Linked DNA regions of Struthio camelus. Each later gene encodes a partner of the first gene's protein in a complex. Links are inferred from orthologs where the notes say so. Each region holds a gene or a part of one and is shown on either strand. Other genes may lie near its edges. The genes, in order: FGFR3, KL and FGF23.

Region 1 (9,860 bases):
TCTGGAAGGACAGCTTTAAAACATACAGTCTGATATCAAAGTTCACTTTTACTGACCATACATAAAGAGAAAAGACTTTGCTTCCCAGTGCTACAGAAAGGAAAAAAGCCCTCAGTTCGCTTCAGAAAAGGCTTCAGCCCTGCCCAGGCAGCAGGACGGAAATGGTCCCGATTCAGGGATGCCGCAGTCGAGACTTCTTTAGCGTTCATCTAACTGCAAAAACCACGTTCAGGAAGGCTCCTGAACAGGTACGCTTCCCCAAAGAACGGTGAAGGTGTGCTAGAGGGAGCTACAAAACTTAACGCGCTGGTCAGAGTGGCTTAATTTAATTGCGTTGTTCAATTAATTAGCAGATCAACTCTTCACTACGCAATTTTAAGATTTACTTTAATGAAATTCCCCACTCAATGGTTGTTAATAAAGTCTTAATTAAAAGAACTCCCCCCCGAGATTTAATTGGAGTGACCCTTGTCAGTACATGTAAAAGGTGGTGATGTTACACATCTAGCATCAAATATATTAATGAACTGGTCTCCGCACTGAAACAGATTTTCCAGGCCACTATTTGCTAGCTGAAGAATAGACTAAAAACCAAAAAGCCACATTTCATCATCCCCTACTCATGCCCTCTAATTTTATTGCTCTGTAAAATATGCTAGTCTCAACATTAAAGACTTAATTAACTTCTTGAAATCTGCTACCGTTAAGACAATAAATGAAACAACTTTCTTCAGCAAAACTATCTCACTCATAGCCGCCCACAGAATCTAAAGGATTTCAGGTCTGAGATATAAAGTAGAAAGCAACAATACTTTATAAGGGACTCTTTTTTAAAGGGCTTTGAAATGCTTTCCTTACGAGAACGTATAAACCCAGAACCCTACTCCAGGAATGGTCAGCGCCACGCAGCACTCACTCAAATACAACTCTAATTTCAGGGTGAACTTTGGAATGTTTAGATACACAAAGTAAAACGACCCGGCCCATAATACCCTACATCCTACCCAATATCCTCGTCAGAAGCTGAAAAGGCTAAAAAAAACCAACCAAACAAACCAAAGTTGCTATAAGCTGCATAAAGAAAAACTTTTCAATCGGCACATCACCGCTGTTTCCAAGCAGAAAAGTCACAAGAATGTCTGGCCCAATATTTAAATTAAGTTAAAACGTGAAATGGTACCTTTTCTATTTCTTTGGCTTGCTTGCTGGGACCAGTATGGTAACTCTGGGTGACAACTCGACTACAGTACTACGCAAGTAAACCTCAGTTACTGCTCTTGACACGCTCGGATAGCTCCTCCCTTGCCGCACAAACTTTCTCAAACATTAACAGCTTTCTACGCAACTCTGTCAATGCATATACACAGCTTTAGCAGCTAACTAGTGTAGTAAAAATCCTAAGACGTCCAAAAATTCACTTTTCCCATGTGTCACGTATGCACACGCACAAACCAGATACGGAAGACAGCCTGTTATCAGAAGTCTTTAGAAGAGAAATGCTGCTGTTTCTGTTGGTCTGCTCTCTAAGAAAACAGCCAGCATTACTTGACATTCACAAATCGTACCAAGTAATATCTTTATCTGAATACTAATGCAAATTGGAAGGGCTTTTTTATATTGATGTCTATTCTGTGGCTGCTGAATAGAGTGACCGCATGCTCAAGGCTGCAAAGGAGTTCACTGACCTCCCTAATCATCTCTGTCATAGCCGCTGAATGACATACACATTCAATCCTGCCTTGCCTCTCTACTTTCATTCATAAAAAAAAAGAAAAAAATGACATTGTTCTTCCTGCAGCAGCCCCGAGAAAGGGAGAGAAGAGAAACTCAGCCCAGATGAGGCCCCTGGTGTTTTTAGTTTAGCTTCTATTCAGCAACAGCCCCGCCATCTGCCTCCTTCCTGCCAACAGCCGAACACCTCCCTGCGGAGATGTTAAAACCTGCACCCCCTCCACCTCCACTAATAGCTAGTATTCATATTAGCAAACATACACATACCTCGAGAATGCCTCCCTTCAATGTGTGTTTTATGTAGCTGAGTATAGGCACAAAGCAGTAGCTGTTACAGCCTTCACAGCCCCGTGTGGAGAATTAGATCACTAGGGAAAAATCCTTCCAAGCCCCTTTATGGAAAATAAGGCCTTACACTGTAAATGCAAAACCTAGTGAACAACAACCCTCAGTAATGAGCCAATACCCCATGGCCCATTTGACTAGGAGAAAGAATTTGCTTTTTACCATTCAATTCAAAGCTTGAAAAGTAAAATGTGTTTTTACTTGGCTCTGAAGGTTTATATTCTTTACAGTTGCTTTTGCAGGTCCTTTTCTCTCCCAGATAAGAGCGCCCTACGCGCTGGCAACAGGTCCTCTGCCCTTGCCTAACGAGTCAATTAGATATCACGACAAGCAGCCCGGGTATCGCTAGCGATATTTCACGCTTCCCTCGTGCACGTGGCCAGTCAAAAAGTAGCCTGGCGTTACAAAGCTCGGTCCCGTCTCCGGAGCACGCTGCCTGCCCGCCCCGCGCGCGCCACCCCCTCCTCTCCCGTCACATCTCCCTGCACGACTCGTACTGCCGGAGAAACGCTCGGAAACGCTGCTCCGCGTCCGTGCCCACGGGAGCCCTCCGCGGAGGGCCTAATCCTGCTCCCCGGGAAGCGCGGGAGAGTTTTGACAGCAGCAACAACAGCAGGACCACAACTGTGCCATTACTCGGAAAAGCCGGGGGGACGAAACCAGAACCTGCCCGCGCAGGATTTCCACCAGAGCGCCTGGCAATCCTGGAGCATCGCTCAGTTCAAAGACATCACCGTAGGGACATTTTCTTCAGCTGCCTCCCTTCCACCAACACGCCGGACGACTATAAGGGCACGTCACTTGCTAAATTTCAAACACCACCCTAAGATCTTAACGTGCAAATGTGGGTGTCTTAAAGAACAGAAAGGTTTTTACTGTTTTTCTGCCCACGATCTCAGTCCCCGGCTGTGAGCTCAGCCTGCCTGAGTGTAAATCCAGAGGACCCCCGAGGAAGTCACTGAGGTTGCTCCACACTTTCCTTGGGGCTCCCCAAAGAATTTTGCTCTAAGTGACAGCGCAAATACATATTTCAGGCTAACACGGGGAAAAGTTCTGACCTTAATTTTGGTCGATTCCTAATACCGTTACTAGCACAGACTGCTCTTGCTTCCTCCTAAACACCAATCTCATCTGCTCTGACAAAGCAGCTGAGATGTTGCCCCATAAATCAATTCTTTTGGCTGTGAAAAATGAGCCAAACGAGTTACACTAAGAATCTGGTGTTTTATTAGTACTTTCTTGAAAACAAAACCAACCCCCTGTGTGATTTATAGCTTTAACCAAAAGGGGTATGAAAGTAATGCCCCCCCCCAGCCTCCACGAAGCCCATTTATTCCCCTGTCACTTTTTTGGCAAACATGCTTCAAACCCTTTCGTGAACAATGGAAACTTTCTGTTGGGTACACGCAATCTTAAAGACAGGGGACTAGGAGGGGGCTACCTTCCATTAAAGAGCTTTGAAAAATAAACAGGGACTCAGGTAGCAGCTGAGGCGTATCAGAGAGACACGACATTTCAAACACGCTGTACCGTTTTTAAACAGCTTTTGCCCAACGCGTTAACTTTTTTTTTTTTTTCACTTGCGACTGCAACGCTTTCCACTCGAGGGGAGATATTTACTGCATTCCCGCAGATGTTTTCCCCTCCTCAGCACAATCCCAACTCTTAAGCCGTGCGCCGGCGCCAGCGGAGCGGTGGCACCTCCCGTCCCGCTCCTACAACGCGGGCACAGATGCCTCCCCCTGCTCTCCGACGTGCGCGCACGGAGGGCTCTCTGCTTTTCCCCGCTCAGCTGCGAGCGCGGCTACGGCCAAACCCCGGATCGGCACCGCGGCGGCAGTTACTGAGAGAAGGAACTTCGAAGGCAGGGAAAGTTGTCTGAAAAGCGATTTTTCCTTCCCGGGCGTCCTGCTGGCTTGGGCAAGCCGAAAGTGCCGCTGGCGGAGGAGCAGGCAGCGCCGGCCAGCACTTTCCCAAAGCCGGCAAGCGCAGCGCGCTGCCGCCTTTCTAACTCGCCCTCCGGGGCCCCCGAGCTCGCCGCGCCGCGGCCCGTTCCCACGCTCGCCTCCCGCCCGGCGCGCCGCACCGCGCCGCGCCGCGTCCCCCCGCCGGGCAGCCTCACCTGCGGGCTGCCCGCCGCTCCTCTCCTCCGCGGGGGAGCCGGGCCGCCGGGCCGCCGGGAGCCCGCCGGCCGCCGCCGCCAAGCACAGGCACCACAGGGAGCCCCACGCCGCCAGCATGCCTCCGGCGCGGCACCGCGGGCGCGGGGGAGCCGCCGCACCGCCGCCGCCCGGCTCAGACATCCTCCGGCCGCATGCTGCCGCCGCTCAGCGCTCCGCTCCGCCGCCGCGCTGCCGAGAGAAGGAGAGAGCCGCTCAGCACCCCCCCGCGTACCGAAACAGGGAAAAAGGGCGGGGGGAGGGGGGAAAGCGAGGAGAAAAAAAATAAAGGGGGGACGCGCGCACATAAGCGGCGCCGGCGAGCCGCTTACCTGCGCAAGCCCCGCGGCTCGCCGCGCACCGCTCATGGAGGGAGCGCGCCCGAGCAGCCGCCACCGCCGCCGCCCGCCCGCCGCCGCGGCGCTTCTGCGTCTGGTTGGCGGGCGCGGGCGCGGAGCGGGGCGGCCGCGCTGTCCCCGCCCGCCGGGGCCGAGCCGCGGGCGGCCCCGCCCCGCTCCGCGCCGCCGCCGCCGCCGCCGCCGCCGCCGCCGCCGCCGCCGCCGCCGCCGCCGCCGCCGCCGCCGCCGCCGCGGGGGGCCGCGCCCCGCTGCGCGCCCCGCGGGCGGGGGAGGAGGGATGCGGTCGGCGCGGTGCGAGCGCCGCGCACCTCCGGCCCGACTGCAATCGCACGGAGAAGAAGGGGGTTCGCCTCGCTCCGGGAAAGACGGGGTCGGCGGGGTTAAAGTCGGTCCGAAGTCCGGCAGTGCTAAGTACGAACCCTAAGACTGCGGCCGCGCAAAGTGGCCCCATGCCCTGCCATAGTGTGCCATGAAACGCGCACAGACTTCGTTTTTCTTTTTTTTCCTTTTTCTTTTTTCCCTGGCCTTACAACAGCAAGGGCGAGTTTTCTGAAAAGAGGCAGAATTGGCTTAAGCCGACTCCGTTGGGTCGTGGGCAGTCTAGGCAGGACGTGGCATGGCAGAAGCCGCCTGCGAGCGGTGCCTGCACTCAGCCTAACGGCTCGCATGCTGAAAGCGCCATGCGCCCGCTCCCCTGGCAGGTTTGCTGTGCTACGGCGGGGACTCCTTTGCCCTGGCCCGCCGAACACCCAGCGCCGGTGTCGTATCCCTGCTTGGATTCTGCGCGTTCACTGCTGCTAGCTGGATCAGCTACTTTTAATAAAATCTGATTAAATGTCACTTGTTACGATTTTGGGTAACGCAGTCGTCTCAGTCACCCCCAGACGTGGCTGACTCGCCGAAGTGACACGCAACATTTATCATTGAGAAGCGATCTGAGCTGCTTCATACAGAGGTCACAGCTCTGCTTTAATCCTCTTGACGCAGCAATTCATTCACTGAAATCTGAGAGGTGCAACTATTATCAGAGCTGAAAGCGCTCTGCGCAGGGTCCCCCAAAACCCCAACTTGCTAACAGCTAGGGTGAGATGGTTCAGGAACGAGAAACGTGTAAAAAGCTCAGGCGGCCTTGAGGTTTGCTCTCTGCAAGCCAAATCCCAGCTGCTGGGGCAGGTTTCGCTTTCGGCGGCGCGGCAGAAGGCGGGAATTGCTGGCGACCTCCGTGGCGGGGCTCTGCGTCGGTGCTGTTGTCGCTGAGCTCGGCGTCCGTCTTGACACCTTTATCAGGCGCGGAGAGTCTGACATCTCAATACTACGGCATTGTGTGGGGAAGCATTGAACCGGGGCTGCAGCGAGGAAATCCTGCATGTCAGCAGAGACTCTCGCAAGTGTCACAGGCAGTTTAAACGAAAACAATGGAGGGAAAAGCAGGCATATAAATAAAACGCGGTTATTTCGCCTGGGAAGTGTGTCAAACTGAAAGATGTTTTCTCTCACAACTGCTGTGTTAGAGGTGCCAGAAAATTGGTGAAAACAACAACAACAACAACAACAACAACAGCGTAATTATAGTGAGAAGAAAGTAGCGTTGCATGTGGAGTTGTTGCCGTTATTATTTTGATGATGACTTTTTGGAAAGGTAGGGCCAAATTCTGATCTCATGTAAAGACAGCAGGGTAAGAGCAGCACAGCATTTAATTGGTGAATCCTCACCGTCTTTCCTGTGATTATCTCCGTTTTTCACAAGAGCAGCAAAGGAAAGTCAGGAGCTTTCCTCAATCCGCAGCTGAAGCAAGAAAGTAAGTGAAAATGCGGAGTCAGGTGAAGCCAAACGTGTCTGTGTCCCTCTCGGGCCAGGGCGACAGGATAGAAACGTCCCATCCAAAGCAAGCGAGTTTTAAAGCTGCTACCAGAGGCTGCTGAGAGACTTAAAGGTCTGTGTCTCAAATCAGGTAAACCTAGCCCTTTAATGGTTTCAAACTGGTTTTCTTTTGGAGAGAAACTGAAAGCTTACAACATTTGGAAGCCCTTTGCGACAGGAAATCAAAGAGGTATTGAGATAGCCCTGTGTAAAGGACTTCAAGGTTGGCAGTTTTCCCTAGGGTGGGATATTTTTAGGTTTCCCGTTTATTAACCTCTGGTGCAGCCCATTCACATGAGGCTGTGGAGCACCGACCCGATTAAGCGCAGATTTTTAGATGCTAGTTCATCACTGCGGTGGCCACTGTAACAGAGCCGGAGATGCAGTACTGTGCAGTGAAAACTGTGTTTCTGGACTATGTCTCAGCCACATTCTTACTATAAAAAACTCAATGTATGTAGACTAGTAAACCCTGCTCAACCCAATAGCATTTATTTTAGGACTACTATGCTGTAAGATGCATCCTAGCCGCAGAGTATTCCTTTCACCTCGACCTAAGAGCGCGTCCCCCTTACGCCGATCTACACGCACCACCCCAGTGTTTGTTCTCCTCTTACCCTTTATAAACTTGCCCTTCCCAGGGCTTTGTATTTGTTTAGCCCCTTAATATCCAGAGCTGTCCGTGATGAAAATCAACCCGCTTTCGGCAGCTCTGGGACAGCGAGCGGCTGCCCCTTTTTTCCGAGGCAGGGGCTGAAATACGATGTGGTGGCAGCGCTCTCAGTGTCAAAGCTGGTCGCTGCTACGTTCCCGGCCCTGGTCCTGGCCGAGGTGCTTGGCCACCCGGAGCGGCTGCGCCCCCACACCCTGCTCCTGCTCCTGTTGCCCCTTTCCCGTAAGCCATGGCTCTCCCTGCTTCCCTGCTCCCACCGACAGGTAATTCAGCTCAGGGACCAAGGCAGGTGGCCCTGGACCAACGCCCCTTTCCTTCTCCTTCCCTTCCCTTCCCTTTCTCCACGGCTCGCTCTCTGCCTTCCTGCCAGGCCTCTCCACCAAAGCTTGATGCCCTTCAGGCTTCAGGCAGGAAAGCTAGAAACGGCATTTTTAGTGGTGGGCCAGCACATTAGAACTATTCTATGCAGAAATATATTTAAGCATAAATCTGGCCACTGAAAAGAATGAGGCAAAATAATGTCTTTGCTCTTTTTTTTTTTTAAATTGATTAAACCATTAGTTCCTGCCTACCTGCATAGCTGAGTTGTTGTATTTAACCAAGCAGAGAGCAGAGCATGGTGGCTGCTGTGAACTGACACATCGTGGGCCTCCATACAGATCTTTAAAATGATGCTGGGGGCTGGTACACCATCCCACCACGCCATACATCCCCATCAATGGGTCCTCGTACAACTTGCTTCCTTAGCGGGCAGAAAACAACTCCTGAAGCTATCCTGAGATGGAACAGGGCAGTGAAGCAAGTGAAACTTCAGTGCAAGTTTGAATATGCTGAACAAGATGCAGTAGAATTACATGGACACGTGGTCACACGAGTCTCTGAATCATATCAGGTTAGGTACACAGAATAAATATCACCAAATATTTCTTATCAGGACTGAGACGCGTGAGCCAGATTGAGCACCACAGCTCCCCAGGGCTTTACCAGCCTGTTCCTCGTTAGAAGCACATATGAGACTGGGCTGAAATATTACTTCAGAGTTTGTCCATTTGCATGCGTCCAGCCCTTGGAATCAAAGGGTTAAATAGCAGGAGTGGAGGTGGACACGGGAGTAAATTTTCCAGAGATCATGTCACTATCTATTTATATCAATAAGGCACATTGGAATGGCTAAACCAGTTTTTATTAACTAGCCAGTCCAAAGGGCTGCGATTCCAAGCAGGTTTATTGAATTTCAAGCTGATAGTCATTGTTGCTAAGATTAAGGACCCAAATGATTGTCAGGGTAAACACTGTGAAAGGTTAAGCCACCATGTGAAGGCTTTCTCTGTGCTTGCAAATGAGAAGCATATCACTTTGAAAGGTGGTTACAGCACAACTTCATCCTGTAGAGTTTACTTCCCCACAGAGCAGCATGGAAGTGAGAAAGAGAAGGCTCTGTTAAGGGAGAAGTAATTTGATTTGAAGAGGAACGAGAAAGAACAAGTGAGCTGGAGAGAGACGCACAAAGTCTCTTCGGCAAGAGCTGCATATGGGGAGGTTCTGGCAGAGGTGAAATAATTTGGCAGCCTGGAGAGAAAACTAGACGGTTTGCGGAAGTAGATAGAAAAAAACTGGAGAGAGCCTGTGGAGGGTGTGAGAAGCAAAGATTTAAAATCAGATCTTGAAATAATCTTGATTCAGTACAGCCACCGTGCGTGCAGCATGGGACACCGGCTGGCTCTGCGCCCTCCTGCGAGCACGTCTCGGAGATGCAGTTCACCTGTCCTGCAGATCTGGTTATCCTAGTCCTCCGAGTAAACCAAGACAAGCATCTGGAGCCTGCAGAGAAGAAGACAGAGATATTACTTCTGCCTGCCCGGTGCATTCAAACAGTCACTATATATGACATTTCAGATAAACTTTGGCTGGAGCACTTCATTTGCAGGCATAGCAAGACCTCTAACTTTGGGGGCATTTGAAATGAAGCCACACGCTGCTTAGTCACCCACCGGTCTGCGAAGACTGATGCCGGTGAGAATAAACCAGACGCTGCCAAGGCAGTTTTCTGGGAGACCCACAGTCATGTTTAAGTAACTGTCCTGAAGCTAGGATTTACTCCAGGAACACACCCATGTACCATGAGAACTGGGATCTTATCACATCTGTGTGGCATGGTCCCAGAGGCAAGCTCCAGCCCATGGGCCTCACTAATGACTGCTGTTGGCCCCAGCAGCGGCATGCGCGGGATGAAATCCTCTCTGGTCTCTAGCCATTTCGAGAACCGCGCTTCATGCTGTCCAGTGTGGCTCGTGACTCCCAGCCCAGCCATAGGGCCTGGCTTTCGCATCCGTATCCCTCTCTCCAGGGGCGTTTCGGGGGATCTGCCCCACTCTGCAGTACCGGAAAGGAATGTGTCGTGAGCAGCAGAAGATCTGTCAAAATAAAGAGCCATCAACTAAAATAAATGTGAGTTAAAGATAATTCAGCTGAGGTCTTCTATCTGTTGAGGACTGCAGAATTTTAGTCAATATTAAGACATTATTACTACAGTTTTCAGTCAAGCTCTTTCTCAGTGGCACGCTTGTCTTACTTTAGGGGAAGGCTTGAATACAGGGACAAATCAGTCATTCTTAACGCTGCTTTACTACTGACTGTGTGCTCCCACAAGGCAGTGCTGACACAGTCCCGCGTCTGACTGCAGCCCTGCCACATCTAGAGGCTGATTTGTATGTCTATCTCCTTGCAATTCC
Region 2 (9,485 bases), on another chromosome or scaffold:
GGTTTCTATATGTAAGCAGAGAAAGTATTTCAGTAACCTCGACATAGGCATCTCTTGTCATTTTAGACACTGTAGTGTATCCTGTCTGACCTCTGGCTCCCACTTCAGAAGGAATTGGTCTTGTGTCATACCTGGCAATCCCACATGAATGTTTCAGGTGCCTAGGGCATCACACTAAACACCTGTGTTTAGGTAACTGAATTAAATCCATGATAGTTCAAGGACATCTAACCAATGTAATCAGTATAGCATAGAATGATTCTGTGCACCCTAAGGTTAAGCCCTAAGGGAGAGATTCAGCAGCCAAAACGTGTGTCTACATCCATCTCCAACAGCCTATGGTGACTGCATGGGAGCTAAAGATAATGCATGGAGGGCTCATTTCAGCTGCCCACATATAGGCATCCATTGCCATTTGACATGACATTTGAGTAGGTATCTCATCTGTCTGCCACTTGATACTCTGAAAGGGGACAGGTCCCTTATAGACCCTCTGTTATATCTGTCAGTCTTGGGTAGATACCATGGCCATTCTATGGTATGTCAAATGACACCGTCTGCCTTTATACTGGCAACTGAATGTGGGAGACCTATGCCCTTCTGTAATGGCAACTGGAAGTCAAATAGGATACCCTAGTACATGTAAAATGATACCAGATCCCTAGGTGTAGGAAACAGAGTTCTGTGCATTTGGGCTGTTCAGCTCACCAGTTCCACAGTGTACTCTGGCCGGACCTCCATCAAATAAATTGGGAACTTAGCCATCTACTTCTTGTTAAAGATATGTAGCTGTCTGAACCCCAAACTGAATTTCATCTTACTAGTACTATTGTGGAAAGGTGACACATATTTATACATCATACATCTACTGCCATAATTAATATCAGATCTTGCTTTACCCACACCTGAAATCACAGGAGGATTAATATTTTGAACAATAAGATGCCCATCTCTTCCTCAGGGGGAAATCAGAGATAGAATGGTATTTAGTAAGAGTGCTAGTATTCTAGTATTTGTGGGATTCTGACGAAAATAGTGTTTGACGTATCTGCATGATGGATGTGAGGAAAATCCCAAAACTTGGCTTAGGGCAGTATTGATTAGGCTTTGATACAAAATATATCACACGTGTACATATACATATGTATACACATATACATATAGAACAAGTGATCGAACAAGTTGATTGAACACTAATTAAATCAATTAAACTAATTGACTGAAAACATCACAGAATCACAGAATGGTTTAGGTTGGAGGGACCTCTGGAGATCATCTAGTCCAACCTCCCTGCTCAAGCAGGCTCCTCTAGAGCATATTTCCCAGGATCGCATCCAGACGGGTTTTGAATATCTCCAGGGAAGGAGACTCCACTACCTCTCTGGGAAACCTGTGCCAGTGCTCAGTCACCCTCACAGCAAAGAAGTTTCTCCTCCTGTTCAGATGGAACTTCCTGTGGTTCAGTTTGTGCCCGTTGCCTCTTGTCCTGTTGCTGGGCACCACGAAGAAGAGACTGGCCCCATCCTCTTGACACCCTCCCTTCAGATACTTGTACACATTGATGAGATCCTCTCTCAGCCTTCTCTTCTCCAGGCTGAACAGGCCCAGCTCTCGCAGCCTTTCTTCAGGAGAGACGCTCCAGTCCCCCCCGCTGCTCTTTGTAGCCCTCCGCTGGACTCTCTCCAGTAGGGCCATGTCTCTCTTGTACTGGGGAGCCCAGCATTGGACACAGTACTCCAGGTGAGGCCTCACCAGGGCTGATCTACTACACAAGACTATTTTCAACTGGCTTTATGCTTGTAAATGTTTGTAAATTTGCTTGTAAACGAAGAATGGGTATTAAAACAGAAAATGGCTGTTCCAGGTGCCGAGGCCTTTTGCTCTGCCAAAGGTAGGAGTATACATGCCACCACTATAAGCCAGGTCGCTATCCTGCAGAGATCTTAAAATGAGGAGGAGGGTTGCTGCATTGAAACCAATGCATGACGTAACATCAGGAAAAGGTGTTAAATGAATCTAAATCATCAACACAGTTGCTTTACCTAAAATTGCATGCCATCAGTAATCATGGCCCCTCAGCCAAGATAGTATCCCCGAAAGTTGTTTCCTTAGGAAGGAAACAAAAGTGCTCAGTCACAACATTGTTGAATTTGATTGCATGCTGCTGCATAACTGATAAAGAAAATTTCTGAGTATAGGCTGACTGAAAATTATACTGTCACTTACCATATCCAGCATACATATTACCAGAAGTTGAGCCTTCACTAATCACTAATACAAAGAAAGCTGAAAGATAACAAATCCAAATCTGCCGGGCTGGGCTGCTGTTGTGTGCTTGCTCAGCAGGGCAGACACGATGGAGCCACGCTTTGAACTCAAGGAGCAAACAGAGAAACCTGCATGTCTGCAAGTGTTTGGCTGACCTTTCTGCATGGTTAATATTGCACAGTGTTTCTTAGACCAGAAAAAAATATATATTGGCCCAGAGCAGAGGGTGGTTGCGTTGTTCTGAAACATGAAAACAAGCTTTCTCTGTAAAGAGAAAAACAGGTAAATGGAGGTAGCGGTGCACTTTTTCTGACTTCTATACTTTAAGACCCAGTTTTCATCTGATAAACATAAAGGTGAAGTGCCAGCTTTGTGCCAGCAACTCATGGCCAGATTTCACCCCTTAAAACTGGGCTGCCGAGTTCAGGAACATACTCACTGTAGGTTCCTTGTATAGTTTTTGGAGAAGGCAGGCACCTCCAGAAGTTGACTAAGTTCTTACATAGGCTGACTCACCCTAACACTATTTCTTTCCTTTGGCTGTAGAGAGGCTCTGCAGAAAAAGAGATCCTAATGAACGTGTTTCAGTTAAGGGTCTAACTATAAATAGGATTAAACTGTGTTTTAGTTAATAATTAGCAAATTAAAAGAGAATGCATCAGGATATATTTTAAAACGTCTTTTGTCCCCAGATACCCATCAAAATTTTTTTCCCCTTAAATCTCAGTAATAGATTTGACACCTCCAAAGCCTTTTTTTTTAGGCTTAGATGTTTCTGAGATCTGCCTCTACACCAAGATTTTCAAAATACTTAGGCAGCAAGTCCCAGGCAAAGGCATTAAACTTCCACTGGAATCAGGTCAGTAGCTGAATAGGAGCCTGACTCTTCACTCCTTGCATAGGGAGGACTAGAGCAGTCCTGTTGTGTACTTAAGATTTAATCTCTAGCTTCTGCAAGTATCTACTGTGTGATGCTATCCTTAGAACAAACTTAGGACTCCGAAAGAACAAACAGAACCCAACAAGCCATACTTCAAAAGAGTGCGCAAATGTAAAAGCAAATGTACATGCACAACCTCTTAGCAAACCTCTATTTTCAACCTGCTGTGGAAGAGCAACTAATATGCTTGTGCTAATATTTTTCCTAGGGGATTGGTACACCTGAATATGGGGAGCATCTGATGTAGCCTATCTGATACTACTCATTTCCTCCTGAAAGGGCATCCATATTTCAATTTTAACACCTTTTTTGTTGCTGCAGTTGGAGCTCAAGTTATCCTTTACTTAGACTGCAATCAAATGTCACCAGCTTGTCAGACTGTAGAGCAAACACACTCCTTGCAGCGGACGATTAGCCTCTGGTGCAGTATCTGCCGCTCTCTTCCCTGCTCCCACCCCATAAACTTGCTGTGCCCTTAGTAAAAGGATGCTATTGGGCCCCTGGGCAATTTAAAACTCCATCCCTCTAACATGGGAATAAATTAATCAGAAACAATGGAAGACTACTACCATCTGGTACTCCAGATCCTTGGTCCCCTCATTAAAAACACCACAAAACAACCCAGCAGCCCCAAATCAAATCGAACTAGTGTGGAAAAGGTGAAAGCTCAAACTTCTTTAAAGACGCAAAGAAAGTGCTCTGCCGTGATTACGAAAGGTGTTAGAGCCCATCCTAGGCTCAAGAGAACACCTTTAGCACCTCAGCGTCCACTAGCAATTGGCATTTAAATCCATCCACTCATTATTAGCAATTACGTGGAGTTCTCCTCTGAGGGCACTTATTTTCTAAAAATAAAATGAAATTATCTTAATGCTTTCATTCTTTAGTTAAACAATAACTTTATCTCCTGGGAACATCTCTCTGTCCTTAACGGCCTGTCTAGTAGGTGTGTTTTATTCTTAGATGCCCCAGCTCATCCTAGGCTTCACATAACTGAATATTAAATACCAACTTTCTGCAATATTTTAAGCTAATTCTTACTTCTCAGCAGACTGAGACCTGCCTTTAAGAAGTTCACGTATCACATCCACACAAGCAGTTAACAGACATAACTAAATAATTAAACTTAAACACACAGCTTTTTTTCTTTTTTTTCTTTCTGCTCCCCATGAGGATCTGCGAGGCCTTTCTAATTGAAATTTGTTTTGCATGCAGTAAATAACCAAATATACCAACCTGCAACTCCAGAAAAGAAAAGGCGGTGTCAGTTGGAGGTGACAGCTTACGAATTATTGTGTGTGGGGGGGGGGTGAGAGCGTACGAAGTCCCCAGTCAATGATTTCGTTTTCAACCATTATTGCATGCCTACAATTATTTAATTATTAATGCATGACGTTTTAAATTATTATTGCAGCTGCGACGTCCCTCGACCCGGCACCACGAAGGAAAGACTGGAGTATGGGGAAAAAAAAAAACCAAAAAAATCCAAAAAGCAGCAGCCGCAGGCTTTGGATCACCCCGCACATACATGAAGCCACGCAGCAGCTCGGCGGGGTGGGGTGGGGTGGGGTGGGGGGGGGGGGGGGGCCTCCAGGAAAGTTTTCCAGGAATTTTTTGGCCGGCCGCCTGCCCGCCGCTCTGTGCCGCGGGCAGCTCCCCGGCGGCGGCGCCCCGGCCGCGGGACAGCTCCCGGGCGCCGCAGCGCTTGCCGCTCCGGCCATCGGGTGGGCTCAGCCAAAAAAAAGCTGTTTTGAGCGTTTCAGGGGCCGCTGGCGAGGTGGCGGGGGCGGGGGGGGGGGGAGAGAGCCCGAGCAGGTACCTCGGGACGGGGCGGGCTGACGGGCTCTGCGCCCTAGAGGGCTGCGGGTGGCCGAGGCGGCCCCGAAGGGGAGACAAGTTGCTCCTTCCCCCGAGGAAACCCCCCCGCCGCCGCCCTCCGCTCCGCTCTCCTCGCCTCCCCCCCCGCCCCTCCTCGATCCCGCCCCCGCAGCCGGCGCTCCCCAAAGGCGGGAGCCCGCTCCCCCTTGGCCGGGCGGGCAGGCTGGCGACGGCAGCTCCGAGGTAATCATTAATAGCCGTGCCCACCGGCGGGGGGAGGGCGGAGGTGAGGATAAAAGGGGGCCGGGGGGGGAAGGTGAGGAGGGGCGGGGAGCGGGGCGGGGGGCTGAGCGGAGGGAAGGCGCCGTCGCGGAGCCCCGCCGCCGCCCGCCGGCATGGCCCCCTGCGCGCCGCCGCCCGCGCTGCTGGCGCTGCTGGCGCTGCTGCTGGGCCGCCCGCTGCTGGCGGTGCCGGGGCAGGGCGCGGGCACCTGGGCGCGCTTCGCCCGCCTGCCCTACCCGGAGGACCAGCTCTTCCTGCACGACACCTTCCCCGAGGGCTTCCTCTGGGGGGTGGGCAGCGCGGCCTACCAGACCGAGGGCGGTTGGCGCCAGGGCGGCAAAGGCGCCTCCGTTTGGGACACCTTCGCCCACCGCCCGCCCGCCGCCCGGCCGCCGCAGCCCGCCGGCGGCGACGTGGCCAGCGACAGCTACAACAACCTGTTCCGCGACGCCGAGGGGTTGAGGCGCCTGGGGGTCTCCCACTACCGCTTCTCGCTGGCCTGGGCCCGCTTGCTGCCCAACGGCACGGCGCCCCTCAACCCCGCCGGGCTGGCCTACTACAGCCGCCTGCTGGGCCACCTGCGGCAGCTGGGCGTGGAGCCCGTGGTCACCCTCTACCACTGGGACCTGCCGCAGCGCCTGCAGGACGCCTACGGCGGCTGGGCCAGCCCCGTGCTGCCCGAGCTCTTCCGCGACTACGCCGAGCTCTGCTTCCGGCATTTCGGCGGGCAGGTCCGTTACTGGCTCACCATGGACAACCCCTACGTGGTGGCCTGGCACGGCTACGGCACGGGGCGGCTGCCGCCGGGCGTGCGGGGCGGCCCGCGGCTGGGCTACAGGGCGGCGCACCACCTGCTGCAGGTAAAACGGCGGCGCGGTGGGAGGGCGGGGGAAGGGGCTCCCCCACCATCTTTGGGGCCTTCTTCTCCTCCTTCCGGAAGGTGCCGTGCTGCCCCCCAGGCGGCGGTGAGAGCGGCACCCTCAGGTGGTGCCAGCTCTGGGCCTGTGGGAAGCTGCCCTCAGGCTGCTCCGTGCCTTTGACAGCCACTAAAGTAAAGGGGGGGAAAAAAAGGCAAATTAATATGAAGTGAGCATCAGAATTAAACATCCATTCTGTTCCCCTTTGGAGCGGGTAGCCTTTTCAAGGGGTTAAAGACGCCTTAGGCTCATAAATTGGAGGCGCAAACTTTGTAGTTGCAGTTCCCTCAACTTAATGCAAACACACCGAATTAAAATGTTCTTTGTATACTGCAGAAATGTTTAATTTTGGTCTCCCGACATTTGTGAATGCGATTCTGGACGTTTGAGTTCAGACCAGTGCTGGTTCCAGCCTCCGCTTCAAGTTGCTGTGGAAATTTTAAATACAACTGTAAAAAGAATTCATGTGTTTGATACAAAAGTCTGGTTGAATTAACGGAGGTGGTGGAGGTGGCTGAAACGTCTTACCAAAAATATTTCTTAACAGAGTAGGATTTTTCTGGACAAAGAGAACATTTTTTGGGGGGGAAACAACCCTGTGTTCCCCAGCTAGGCTAGTAAGTCTCATAACTTTTTTGTTATAAGTATTTTTTATGTAATTTACTTATATATGGTATATTTGTAAGGTTTGCTGGAAGCACTTGTCAGAATTAAGCAAAAGTGTGTGCAAATCTTTTTCACTGACTGAGTAAAAGATTCAGTATGTCTCACTGGAGTGGTATTTAGTTACAGCTCTTAAGAAATAATCTATTTTACCTGAATGCACATTCCTAAACTCTGCTAGTGTTCATTTGCTCAATATATGCTTACTGGCAAGCGTATTGTTCTCCTGAGTGAGTATCGTATATGAAATGAGAACGCTGATAAAACATCCAACTCATGGCTTAGTCAACTTTTGCCTCTTTTATGCATTAACTTTGCATCATTTAGTGTTAAAAGTGTTTCAAGACAAAATAGAGGGGTGTACATGGGTGTACACATGGATGTAATTTGAACAGGGGTAGCATTTCAGATGGCACTTAAATTCCTGGTGCTGAAACCTTTAAACTCTTAAGCAGTTCTTAGGATGTACTTGACTGAGTTTGATGCCGTGACTGTACAGTTCACTGAACTGAATCTGCTTCTGAGTGAAGGTACTCCTAAACTTAAGCATTTGCAGTATTAGCCCCAAATTTTGCAGCAAGACTTTGTCGCCTATCAGTGATCATTACACTTTTCAGAAAATCTCTAAATAGTTACTCACAAATTATTTGCTATACTTGCATAGTTATTCTGAAATCAGTGGGACTGTGCACAAGGGTAAGGGCTGTAGACTCGGTGCCATCGGTGACAAAATCTTGGGAGCTGAAGTTTTATTTCTCCGACTTTGTATAGATCATATGCAAAAGAAATCAGTAAAGCTGCAAATCTGAGCTCTCGGACTGTCAAAAGAAAGCTTACCTTGCAATTCTTACTTCAGCTCTGAGAGTCATAGGCATGCTGACTTGGACTTTTAATGTTGTCTGTCACTTTATTTTCTTTCTAAAGCCTCTCCTCTGCTGTGCAAAATGGACAAGTGATGAGTACCAATTCAATATTCTGTGTGGTTCTCCCCTCCACCTGGTTGTTCGGTTTGCGGCTTCGGGTCTGAATACAGGGCTCTGAAAACAGATAACTAAATGTAATGGTTATTTTCTCCATGAATTTTCCACAGTGCTGTTTTTCCCGAGTATTTATATCTCACATCACCATAGTATCTGAGCGCCTCCTAATCTCAAGCATATTCTTGTTCTCACAAAAGTCCTATGAAGAAGGGAAGTGCTTTCTTCCAATTTCATAAATGAAAAACTAAGGCACAGACTTTCATAAGGCATATAGAAAGTATAAGAAATTAGACCAGGAAAGTCTACTATAACTATTTTAGTGACATAATCTCTGAATCAGTCTTCTTCTAGTGACTATCATTTCATTTTTTTCACAAACAGTGATCATTTCTTTTTACACAGCTCTGTAAGGTAGGAGGTATCATTTTTTCCACATTTGACAAATGAGGAACCGAAAGACAGAGGCAATTAAGGTCAAAAGTATCCACTAATTGTTGGTGCCCTCTTCCTGGCATGTGATTTTTGGGCAGTTATACATTCAGCTCTTCTGCTGGTTGGATCCCAAAATCTCAGATCACCCACACAGAAAATAAGGGATGCGCAGTTCATGCAGAGAAGCTCTCATCCATGAATGCTTAGGCAGAAGTCTTTAGTACAGGCAGAGATCTGGCCTGACTATTCAGGGCAGAAAACTTAATGGCTTTAACAGTGAGTTTCTTCTTTTGTTTCTTACATCCCCGTAATTACACCTTTCAACTTTTGCAAGCGATGAAGTAGGCAGCTTCAGAATATGGCTTCCCTGAACACACAGCTTGATATCCGTAAAGTGTATGTGATCATGTAATGAAAGACCAAGTTATTCCGCGTGTGTTAAAGGGAGTGAATTACATTTCCATGTGCAGATTTAGTTTTCCTCTGCCTGACTCCTGAGTGATTGACTTTACAGCTTGAATAATGTTTTTTAATGCAGGAGGGAGGGATTGCATATAGTTTTGTAAGTGACTTCGGTCACTCATTCTCAGGAGCACACGCAGCCTGGATTTGGATCAGAAGGCTGTGCAGTTGTGGGTCTGCCACTTCATTACATAACTTGGAGCGGGGGCACAGCGCTAGGCAGTGCTGTTGGGGGCTGTAGTCCTCAAGCCCTTCCAGGAAAGATGTAGTTGATCTCCGCTCACAAAAAACTTTTCAGCCACCCAAACTCCTGTTGCTTATGTCTTCCATTACCAGTCCCAGGCTTGTCCTAGTCTTGTTTCCTTCTCAGGGATCTTCTTGTCTCTGTTTCCCAGTGAAAGATATGTTTGTCCTTTAAAAGATAAAACATATTCTCATAAATGTTTGGATCTTGACAGATTAGATGACTGAATGTGTTTTCTCACAGTTTTGTGTATATTTACAACACGCAATCACTTTTGATTATCTTCTTTCAACCTCTCTGCCTCAAACAAAGACCCTTATGAGGAGAAAGATTAATTGCTAGTGAACACAAATTTCAAGTCATTTATTTTAGTTGACGCTAATTACTTTGAAAGATGAAATAATTTCCTTTAAATTCTTTAAAATTCAGCAGATCCAAATGTGGATTTTGGGCTCTGTCTTTCCGCGTGAGTTATTATC
Region 3 (10,307 bases), on another chromosome or scaffold:
AGCGTGTTAAGTTAAGCGGCATTAGAGTATATAGGAAACAATGGGGAAAACAGTGTAGGGAGGAAAGGTCATACAGTGAAACAAGGGATGGGCAAATGCTACAGGTCCTTACTGTTGGACATGTGGATTTTGTTATACAGAGTGAACTGAACTGAATCAAAGTGTTCAGACTAGGATCCTGGCAGTAGCAGGAACAATGAAAGACTTTCAGTGAAAGTGTGCAGAGACCTCCATTTGAGAGATCAGACTGACCTGGGTGTCTAATTTTGAGGGGAAAAAATCTGAGAGCTGATAGAAGTAAATGTGTAGGAACAGAATTAGCTTGAAACTCTCATTCACTCTTATGGTACATTATATGAAATTACAAGTTATATATAGAAAAAATAAAATATATATATTTTAAATATATGTATTTTTAAAGCCACAGATTATCTGAAGAACTTAATACCAGAAGATACTGAGAAAGGGAGCTTGGTTCAGCCATTTGTGGCCTTCAATCAGACTACCTCAAAGTTTTCTTGTGTACAAGCTGCAGCAGCTCTCCCAGTCACAGATGGAGAGGTCCATTTTGTGCCCTCTTCCTTCACTTTCTTGGTGTATCCTTTCACAGCTCCACCTCCTGCCTTGACCACTTGCCTCCCGCATATACGTAGGCTGGGACCCAGCTCTTCTCATTTCTGTCATCCCAGGTCCACATACTTCCTCTTATCTACCCATCACCAAGTCTATGAGCTGATTCACAGGGCTGACTGTGTCCAGTTACTGACCTGAGCTGCAGGACAAGCAGCTCCTCCCCAGTCAAGGGGGCTTCCTGTCCCCCAAGGAATGGGCACTACAGCTGGGGACCCTCCAAAAAGCATTTCCTTGGCAATGAAAAGTATCAGCAGCTCCCATCACAGGTTGTGACCATTCTCTATTCCACATCACCTATGAAAATTCAGAGCCCTTAAAACAATGAAAACAGTCTCTGTTCAAAAAATACAGCCTTTCAGGAACTGGTCCTGCTCTGCCTGGGAGCTCTGACAGTGCTTTCAGCTAGAGAAGGAACAGGGCCCTTCATTTCAGCTGGTTAGAGCAAAATAACGTGAGCATCATCATCAAGGCCCTTCTTAGACACTTACAAGGAGGGAAGCCTGATCCACCTGCTTCCTCCTCAGAGTGCCATGCAGTGTTGCGGCTTTCTGTTGGTGTCCGTCTTTGCTGTGTTAAATTTTGAAAGCCCATAGTCTCTAAAGCCACTGGTAAAAAGCTGCTCCTTTTTAGGAATGGCAAACCAGAGTGGAAAGCTTCTTCCAGTCTTCCATCTGTCTGGAAATAAAAATCCCAAGAAGAAAAGACAAGCACTTCTCAGAAAGACTGTATGTATGTCCTGCATAATGCAGGGATAGGTGTCCAAGAGATACTCCAGCAATATTCACTGTCTGCCTGCACAGGTGACTTAGCACTTTTAAAACTGGAAATGGCTTTCCAAAACATCTACTACATGGAGAAAAGGTGAGGGGGAAAAAATAGAAGAGCCAAGACCATACATTTGGCAAGCACACTGCAGAAATCGCTAGTGCATGCTGCGGTCCCAGATGCAGTGGGTTGTGCTTACTTCATTTGTTTCACGTAGGTGAGCCTAGCCAGGATGTTTGCTTTAGTCGTGGGCAGCGTGACAAGGATGGGACATCCAAATAAGGTCACTCAGGATGTGTTTAACAACACTGGGTAAAGTCTGTGGCAAAGGTTCATGCACACACATGCACACAGGGCATCCACAGTACACACCGCTGTCCTGGTGTGTCATTATTCCAAGAATAACTACTAGAGAGGCACTCCACCCTTGTACTTCCAACATCGAAGATGTGATTGTCCCAGAGTCATTATAGTGATTTTAAGGAGGAGGGAAGAAGGGAGAAGTGTCCCTGAATCTCTGACCTCTTAGAAGAGATGCAGTGCAGAGAAAAGCGTGAAAAAAAGAGGCAGTTTCAGATTTGTCAAGCCAAATTCCCTTGCGATCTTTGAAATAGCAAAAAGCAGAAGGCTTTCTGAGGGTCATCCCAGCTACCTGGGAACAGAAGGGGCAATTCTTCCCCATCCTCACATGGCTGCCAGCCCCGGGGACAGACTGGTGAACATCTCCCTGCCCTCAGCCAGAACAGGGTTCTGCAAAATGACAAGCCACACACCTGTTTAAATATAGGTCAGCATGCTTTATTAAGCAACAACCCTACACGTGTGTCTACATGTTGAAAGGTAGTCAAACACTGTGAGGAGACACGTATTTTTATTCATAAGAGGACCTGGAAAGTAACCTCATTATACTAAGCAGGAAACTCATTTTTTAACCTGCAAATTTTTGATGGTGCATAAAGCACTTTTAAAGAGCCTGCAAAAGGTAAGTAAGAGTGAATTTCTTGTAGTAACTTATACGTGTTCAAAAAGTTTGCACTTGCCCTGTAAGTCCCCTGTAGCTGACTGAAGTGATAAGCAACGAAAGAAGGGAGTTATCTTGTTAGCAGTTGCACAAGGGAAGGTGAGCAGCTGCCAAGCTCAGGGTTTGACAGATTTGAAATCATAAGTTATGATCAAAAATGACCTGAGGCTGAAATGCAAAGTGCTCAAAATGTGGGAATTCAGAGCTCAGGCTCCTGTTACCTTAACTCAGTTCCCTTGTGTATAGTTCTGGGTATAATTTTTAGTTAAATGTTCATATTTAATTAAATTACAAAACTTCCCACCACATATTTGTCTCATTGGACACAGAAAATGATTATGTTCACTTATAGATACTTGGTATTTTGTGTCCGCTGGTCATTGTGTGCTCTGGATTAGCACTTGCAGCCCACGTGGTAGGCCCCAGTGATGAGGCATGAGCCTATCACCACTGATGCCCAGCTCCCAGATCCACCAACCCTGCCAGACCTCTGCTACCTCCAAAGCAAAGAGGACAGAGTCGGTAGGAGCAGGTAAGGGGTGATGGCCCGGCAGGGGAGGAGGGAAACAGCCTGGGAAGGTGCAGAGCATCAATCGTTTTCTCACATACATTTCAACTGCAAAGTGGTCTGATCCATCCCTTCCTCTTCAGCAATGCGGTTAAGGGAGACTTTCCTTATTGTTCATTGCTGGTGACAGCATCCACCCTCAGTGCTGCCTTTGGGCTGTCAGTGATTACCGCTACCTTTGCAGGTAGTCCTGCAGAGTCCTGTGTCCTGTGTCACCCGACCCCAGCTGTGCCATGTTTCTGAGGTGGGAAGAGGGAAATGTGGCCACCCTGATGGCAGAAAGGTCTGTATTCGGTCTCCCTTGCTAAAGGACACAGCAGTCCTTCCCTTTTCCACCAGCATGCCTCAAGATCCATGTGTATTTCAGCTGCTGTCCTCATGGCACTCACCTTGCCTCCTGTCTGCTCAAGAGGCTCCACATAGCAGGGACCAACCTGCTTCCCTGAATTATTTATTTGAATTAAGGATGTATTTAAAGAAGAATAGCAATTCTGAGGTTGATTAGACATTTTTGGTCTTCAAATTCAGTTTTTTTTTTTTCCCTCTACAAGATGCTGCACCTAATTCTTTAGGTACAGGAGACACCTAGAAAAGCTGTCTTGATTGGTCAAACATCTGAAAACAGTATAGACAAAAAAGAAATATCAACATATATGGTAAAAGTTATGAAAATATTATTGCTACTGATGCAACAGCATAAGGATATAAGAGGAATAAGGTTTTAATCGCTTTCATTAGGCTAACTTAGAGAGCTGAACAAGTAAGCAAGCTTTCATCTGCTTGGTTACTTCAGCAACAGCTGAATGGGTAGGAGAAGTTAAGTGGCATACCCACAGAAGGAATAAATGGATCAACCGGGAACAAAAACGAAATGGACTGTTAAAAAAGCATCACCAATTTGCATATAGAATTAAAGTAAAAATGTGCATTAAAAGGCAAAATTTGAATTACCATCCTGACAAGCAGAAACTTAAATAAATTTGCTTTAGCCTGTCAGCTTAAACAAACACAACTCAGCAAAGCCTGGAGTGCTACTGACCCCATGAGAAACTTGAAAATGCCAAACAATTTAAGCACCTGAAAATAGTCTGCTTGTCTGCCATATATAAAAAAAGAGAAATGGCTGGTCACAACTGGCATGTGCCGAGATGATTGAATACATTTTTCAGAAACATGAGAACTGTTTCTCTGCAGCTAAGACACCAGAGAGAAATCAGATCAGCGCATAAAGGTAAGCACAGACAAAAATCATGATGAATATGAAATATCACACCAGAAAAACTCCACTTACAAAAAGATCACAAAAACTTCCAAGAAGACAATCTATCCTGTATATGACTCTCTTGTGGAAACTTTTGCAACTGCTTCTGAGGTATCCCCATCCATATTTCCACACTAGTCTGAATGAAAGGGAGTAAAAGACCAAAAAAATTTTAGAAATCCTTGGATTCTAATACCAGACTGAAAAAAATGAATGAATAATTTCAGTACTAAGGTAGATACATCACTTAGAAAAGAAAAGAAATAATATTCATCCTTTCCTTCCAAACTAGCTTTTAAATTAAGACATTCAGATGTTACACCCAGTAAAACATTTGTAGCCTTAATTGCCTCTCAGTGAAGTCAACTTTGTTAATCTACTCCATTTAAGATATGACCCCAGTGCACTTTGCATAAAATTGCTGTCATTTACACAGGTGTATACACACTGACGTAAGCCTTTAGATTTACACAGATGTCAGAAGAAATTGGCAGAGTTTTGCTAATTTTAAACGATAAAAAAAAATCAGATCAGCTTTTGCAGTTGAATACAGTTGTAAAAATCTGTAATATGCATGGTGCTCGTGGCACTGCTCCACAGCTCACTAAGGAAACTGAGAATCTGACACCTTGTGTCCAACTAGAGACTAACTTATTTGTATATTGCTTGAAAGTACTGGACCTAAGACTGCTACAAACAAAAACCTCAAATTTATTTTTTTTAAAAAAGTGATTGACTTAGTTTTCAGTATTCTCTTCAGTTTTATATTCATTTTTGAAAGAAACTTTAGTAAAGCCTAGTTTCATAACCCGTTGTCGTCATCATCATCATCATCATCATCATTTCACCTACATAACCACTCTCCCATTAATACAGCATTTTCATAATGAAAATGGAAGCATTTTTTTAATTGGGAAATTTGTAAAACCACAGAATTCGGCAGGACAACTAAAATGTGGGTATCATATCTTAAGCCATTTTTGAACATTGCTTTGCAGTTATTACTTTTCAGTTTGGTCATGTTCTTTTGTAGTTCTTCCAAGTGTGCTTGCTATACCTCAAGTAAAAAAATGTGCCAAGATGAGCTATTTCTGTTTTGATGTGGGTCCTAGATCTACTAGCCATGCTAACATATATGACTCCTTACATGATTGCCACCTAGACTTACAGTACAGCAACAAATATGCAGCTTCTAAGCATCTTACAGGTAATTTTCAGCTGACTGGCCAACTTCAAATTATTTAGGTAACTCAAGATATCAGAAGAAATAAAAGGGAGAGCTTATTTCAAGAGGGCTGCGCTCATATCAAGCTTCTCTTGCTTAAAGGAGGTGACATAAATTTCGGTCCAACAGGCTCACTGCTGGATTTACATCACTATGAATGGGGAATCAGGCCCAGATTAACCTAATACCAGCTTCTGACACATCTTCAAAAATTTTAGCAGTATTTGGTGCTTCTGTGAAATTAGAATGTGGTTTGGAAAACCAAGGGGAAGGTGGGAATCTGAACAAACATATCTGAGAAAAAGTTCAAAGTCTAAAGGTTCGTTCCCTTCCCCTCCCAAAAGGCTTTCTATGTAGCACAGTAGACTGCTCTTCCTGGATTTAACAGTAGGGGCGTGGGAAGCTCTCAGATGTCACAGGCTTGTAGATAACATTTGAACATATGATTAGCTTTTGTGAGCTGTCTTTAGAAACCTTACATTTGCTCCCCCCCCACACCTTAGCCAGAGAACCTACGTGCTTTCCTTCCCTTGAGGTTTCGGGCCACTTAAAATGTTGCTTTGACAAAAATCAAGGATGTGGAGAAGTTTTTCCTGTGTGATGTCACTTGGCTACCCTTTATAAGCCTCTGCAAAGAAGAAAGGAGCCCATCTGAGGATTCATACTCCAAACGCAGTCAAACCAGGGAAAGAGAGAAGCAAAGAGGAGTATCAAGTTTCAGGTACAGACTAGCCACTAAGGACAGAGAGCCATGCCACAGGCCGTTCCCTACAGCTGCTTAGGGTGCATGCTGCTGGTGCTCTGCAGCCTGAAGGCTACCGCTGCCTTTCCCAACTCCTCTCCACTGCTGAATCCCAGCTGGGGGAGTGCAGATCGCCTGATGCACCTGTACACAGCTACGGAGAGGAACAGCTTCCACCTCCAAATCAACGCTGATGGCTACGTTGACGGTGTCCCGCACCAAACCATTTACAGTAAGTAGCTCATTATGGACCCCCGGTCTTCATTTGAGCAGGGAAGAGAGGACAATGGTCTTTTTTTGCCTTCTTACTAGCTATAGCAATTTCCATCCTCCTGGTTGGCAGGCAGACAGCTGCGAGATGGAAAATACACATAATTGTAATATTCCTTTTGTTTAACAAATAAACAAAATTGCTTCAAAGAAATCTAGCAGATAGGAATTCTGATTCTTCACCTTTACAGTAAGTTATGTGATTCCTGTGATACTCTGCAAGCAAAAACTACCAAAATTATCCTTCACTTCATGATTTTACCCACAGCTTCTTGTGGAAGTTCCAATGAGAGATTGGTGATGACATGTCCCAAGTATCTCCTTCTTATTCCATTGATAACATCTGCAAAAGAAGTATACTGAGTGAACTCACCACACAAGTGCTGGAAAACTGGTTTTGTCCATAAAACCTTTACTTTTGGGTAGAGAGCTGAAAAATATCTGTAGGCAACTACATCAGTACAGTTGGTCATTTCCTTTTGAGTACACCAATACTTCTCTGAATCGAAAATTAGTTTGTGAGACAAGCTTCAGATTTGTGCCTTTAATGTACTGCCTGGTAGAAACACAACTGTGCATAGAACGTGGCTCACTGAATATGCAAAGGTTGATTAAACTGGGAGAAACCGCAAAATGTCAGACTCTCATAAATGAAGTGCTAAGCCTTCGGAGTGCAGGTGTGGCTCCCAAATTGTCTCATCCTCATCTATTTTCTTGGAAAACTGGGGTATCCTCCTTTCTTTGTTGCATACCTAGCCCAAACACCATAACTAGTAGAAAAATGATCACAAGTAACAATAAATCAGAAAGTAATTTTAATTATTACTACTGTGTAGCATCTTCTTCAACTACTCAACTAAAAATATAAGCATATCCAGAGATACCTGTGTATGAGTGTATGAGGAACAAAAGACTTTTAAAAAGGTTATAATTTAATTAAGGAGAAAAAATGATCAAGTTCTGCTATTTTTTTATGAATTATGGATAAAACACTTGTAGAAAGGCTGCATCCTCTTGTTATTATTCTTCAAATATATTAGTAGGGTCTAAAAAATTCAGTCGTGTTGGTCAAGAACCAGTGTGATGGTGTAGAGAATCACAGCCAACAAAATACCATGCTTTGCCAATCTGTCATGAAGCAAGTGTACAGGTAGTTGAAATGGTAGAGCAGAAAGTGTGAGATAAGACAAGGAAAGGGGCTGTGAAAGCAAAATAACTGAACCAGGTCACCACAGTCCTGCTGAGACACCAGACACATGAGAAGTGCAAAGTTCTGCACCAGGGCTGAAATAACCCCTGGTGGTGGTACAGGCTGGAGCAGCCTCACTGCACAGACAGAGCCCTGCTGGACAGGTCCTGAGGGTTACAGGGGCACCAAGCCAAATGTGAGCCAACAGCACATTTGTCCACATTTGAGTGGAATGGTGGCCCAAAGACCCCCGGGATGGCCCTTCCAGTCAGCACTTTTGTGGATCGGTGAGGCAACAATCCAGTGCAGAACTGTGTCCTGGATTTGATATCTTTGTTTTTCTAAATAGGTGCTCTAATGATCAAATCCGAGGGTGCTAGCTATGTAATAATCACTGGAGTGAAGAGTGGACGCTACCTATGCATGGACATGAAAGGAAACATTTTTGGATCGGTGAGTGACCTTTGCTAAGACTCAAGACTGAGGCAGCTGCAGCCTGCTGTTCTTACCATAGGGCCAATTTCCTCAGCTAGGACAAATCTCTGTAGCCAGAGGCAGTGACGGAGGAGGCAGATTTAAGCCAGCTGAGAACCTGACACGTAGGTTAAACTTTCCTCTTCTTGTCAATCGTATTGAATCATAGAGCTGACAGAAGTCGTGCAAGTCCTGCTGGGCTAAATGAGGCCAGAATGAAATCTAATGGTGGATCAACCTGAATTCTTGCTGTAGTCTATAGTCGTGGCTTGGAAATAGCTCAGACAATACAATCCTCTCAGATAAAGCAGTGTTAGCCCAAAAATACCTTTGCTGTAAATATGGGCATATATATTAGTCTACAGTTTACTAAGCCTTGTCTCAGTTGTTACTGCAGAGCTAGGGGATCAGAAAGATACCTGCTGCAAGATCTCATTCTTCTTTCTGTTTTTAATTGGCACTCTTTAATCACCAAATCTCTCTGCTCACAGCTGTCATTTTTTTCCTTAAGCATTACTTCAGCCAAGAAGACTGCGTGTTCAAACACAGAACCCTGGAAAATGGATACGATGTGTACCAGTCTCCTAAATACAACTTCCTGGTTAGCTTAGGCAGAGTTAAACAAGCTTTCTTCCCTGGTATGAATCCACCACCATATTCCCAGTTCCTGTCCAGGAGAAATGAAATTCCTTTATTCCGATTCAACACACCTGAGCCCCACAGAAACACTAGAAGTGCAGATGTCGATCCAATGGATCCTCACCAGATCCTGGTGCCCCAGAGAAAGGTCTCCGCATTAGGATCCCAGCTGCAGCTGCAAGCAGACTTTTCCCACGTGCCCAGAGAACCCATGAGAATCAATCAGAATGATGTGGTCAACCCAGATGACCCACACGCTATGATGGATGCCAGGAGGCATGTGAGCCCTCGCTTCTATATTACAAGATAATGGGGCCACACCACTTGCAAATTGAAATAATGGATGAATGTGATAGATGAGAAGAACTGGCTAGCATACTTGATTCAATTTCCAACTTTCAGAATGGCTACTAGAAACCTGAAAGACAATGGAAAAAAACCTGAATTTCAAATCGCACCCTTAGAGATGACAGTTCACTGAAAAAAACAAATCATATATTTTCCAGGTGGGGCTCTACGCTATTGGAAAAAAGAAATATCTGCAAAAAGAATAATACAAACCAAACTTTTGGGGGTTTGAATCACCTTTAGTTTGCGTCAGTGGACAGAACTCACTTGAATGAAAAATAAGAAACAAATGTTACATTACTGGTGTAGCTGGAAAGAGACTTGGGCTCTGCAGCCTTCATTCCAGTAGAAGCAGGGAGTCCTCTAATTAGCACAACAGCAGGCGGTGCAAGTTCAGCATAAAAAATGTCTGCTGGTGTGTTATATGATTAAAATAACTTTATTGTATATGGTTTTAGCTGGTAGGATTGGAGCTATAGTCTCTTTTCACACCCATAGAAGCCAAAAAGCAACTGCTCTGTTGTTAAAGGATCTGCGCACATGGAAAATTGGAATAACTGGCAAGAGAACAGGGATCAAATGGTCTTGCATAGAAAGAGTCAGTTCTGACTCCTATTGAATCCAAGCTGAGGTCTGGAAAAAAACAAGTAGAGTCCCAAAGTTCTTTCAATTCTTTCTCTATCACACTTCTATATTCACTTAATTCTAGGGTCAAAATATAGAAATATAATGTAAAAATATTATTTTTATGTATTTCCAACACAGAGAGAAGTACCAGGAGTACTAATAATTAATAGTATCAGATAGGTTAATTTATTTTGCATGCTGCTGAACTCTGCTAGGAAAAATAATTCCCAATCAGTCATGCCCCAAAGGCTTCAAATTACTCATAGCTAGTGCATATTCTCCTATGATGAGTAAAAATGAAGTATGTATTTAGAAAAGGAGGGTCCAAGTTTAGTATCACTGTTTCTATTTAGTTCTGAGTAGGTATCAGATGATTTATACTTGTAAGAGTAAATTACTTTAATTTCATCATAAGATCTCTAAATATTGACAAAGCCTTTTCCTTAGACATCCAGATTGGTCTATGTTATGGATAAGTTTGGAATCTAACCTCCATAGATGCATCTGAAGTTTACAAATCTTTAGTTAAAATGAGAATATCTGCA

The links.
Region 2: the proteins of FGFR3 (region 1) and KL are in contact, whole or in part, in a cryo-EM structure (PDB 7YSU), measured with the Homo sapiens proteins. The link is inferred for Struthio camelus from reciprocal best matches to the Homo sapiens genes FGFR3 and KL. Residues at the interface, in NP_000133.1 of Homo sapiens: Gln286, Leu288, His290, Val291, Val293, Gly299, Thr303, Pro304, Tyr305, Val306, Thr307, Val308, Leu309, Lys310, Glu320, Leu324, Ser325, Leu326, His327, Asn328, Val329, Glu332, Asp333, Thr338, Leu340, Phe347, His349; in NP_004786.2 of Homo sapiens: Ser539, Gln540, Phe541, Thr542, Asp543, Asn545, Val546, Tyr547, Leu548, Trp549, Asp550, Val551, Ser554, Lys555, Arg556, Leu557, Val563, Lys566, Arg568, Tyr571, Val573, Ala576, Pro580.
Region 3: the proteins of FGFR3 (region 1) and FGF23 are in contact, whole or in part, in a cryo-EM structure (PDB 7YSU), measured with the Homo sapiens proteins. The link is inferred for Struthio camelus from reciprocal best matches to the Homo sapiens genes FGFR3 and FGF23. Residues at the interface, in NP_000133.1 of Homo sapiens: Glu157, Arg158, Asp160, Lys161, Leu163, Leu164, Ala165, Val166, Pro167, Arg223, Asp244, Leu246, Glu247, Arg248, Ser249, Pro250, Val277, Tyr278, Ser279, Asp280, Ala281, Gln282, Pro283, His284, Ala312, Gly313, Ala314, Thr316, Thr317, Asp318; in NP_065689.1 of Homo sapiens: Ser29, Leu32, Gly33, Ser34, Trp36, Tyr43, Ala45, Ala47, Arg48, Asn49, Ser50, His52, Ile75, Arg76, Ser77, Glu78, Asp79, Ala80, Gly81, Val83, Val84, His117, Gln118, Thr119, Asn122, Gly123, Tyr124, Asp125, Leu158, Ser159.

What each region holds. Positions count from the first base shown.
Region 1 is NC_090945.1:78,284,356-78,294,215, forward strand, and holds the start of FGFR3 (fibroblast growth factor receptor 3), read right to left. Parts: upstream 4,666-9,860; 5' UTR 4,568-4,665; intron 4,428-4,567; 5' UTR 4,380-4,427; coding exon 4,199-4,379; intron 1,344-4,198; exon of another isoform or gene 1,181-1,343; intron 1-1,180.
Region 2 is NC_090942.1:198,395,251-198,404,735, reverse strand, and holds the start of KL (klotho), read left to right. Parts: upstream 1-5,414; 5' UTR 5,415-5,421; coding exon 5,422-6,168; intron 6,169-9,485. UniProt on the Homo sapiens protein: May have weak glycosidase activity towards glucuronylated steroids. However, it lacks essential active site Glu residues at positions 239 and 872, suggesting it may be inactive as a glycosidase in vivo.
Region 3 is NC_090942.1:84,396,485-84,406,791, reverse strand, and holds FGF23 (fibroblast growth factor 23), read left to right. Parts: upstream 1-6,087; 5' UTR 6,088-6,224; coding exon 6,225-6,447; intron 6,448-8,023; coding exon 8,024-8,127; intron 8,128-8,659; coding exon 8,660-9,097; 3' UTR 9,098-9,206; downstream 9,207-10,307. UniProt on the Homo sapiens protein: Regulator of phosphate homeostasis. Inhibits renal tubular phosphate transport by reducing SLC34A1 levels. Up-regulates EGR1 expression in the presence of KL. Acts directly on the parathyroid to decrease PTH secretion. Regulator of vitamin-D metabolism.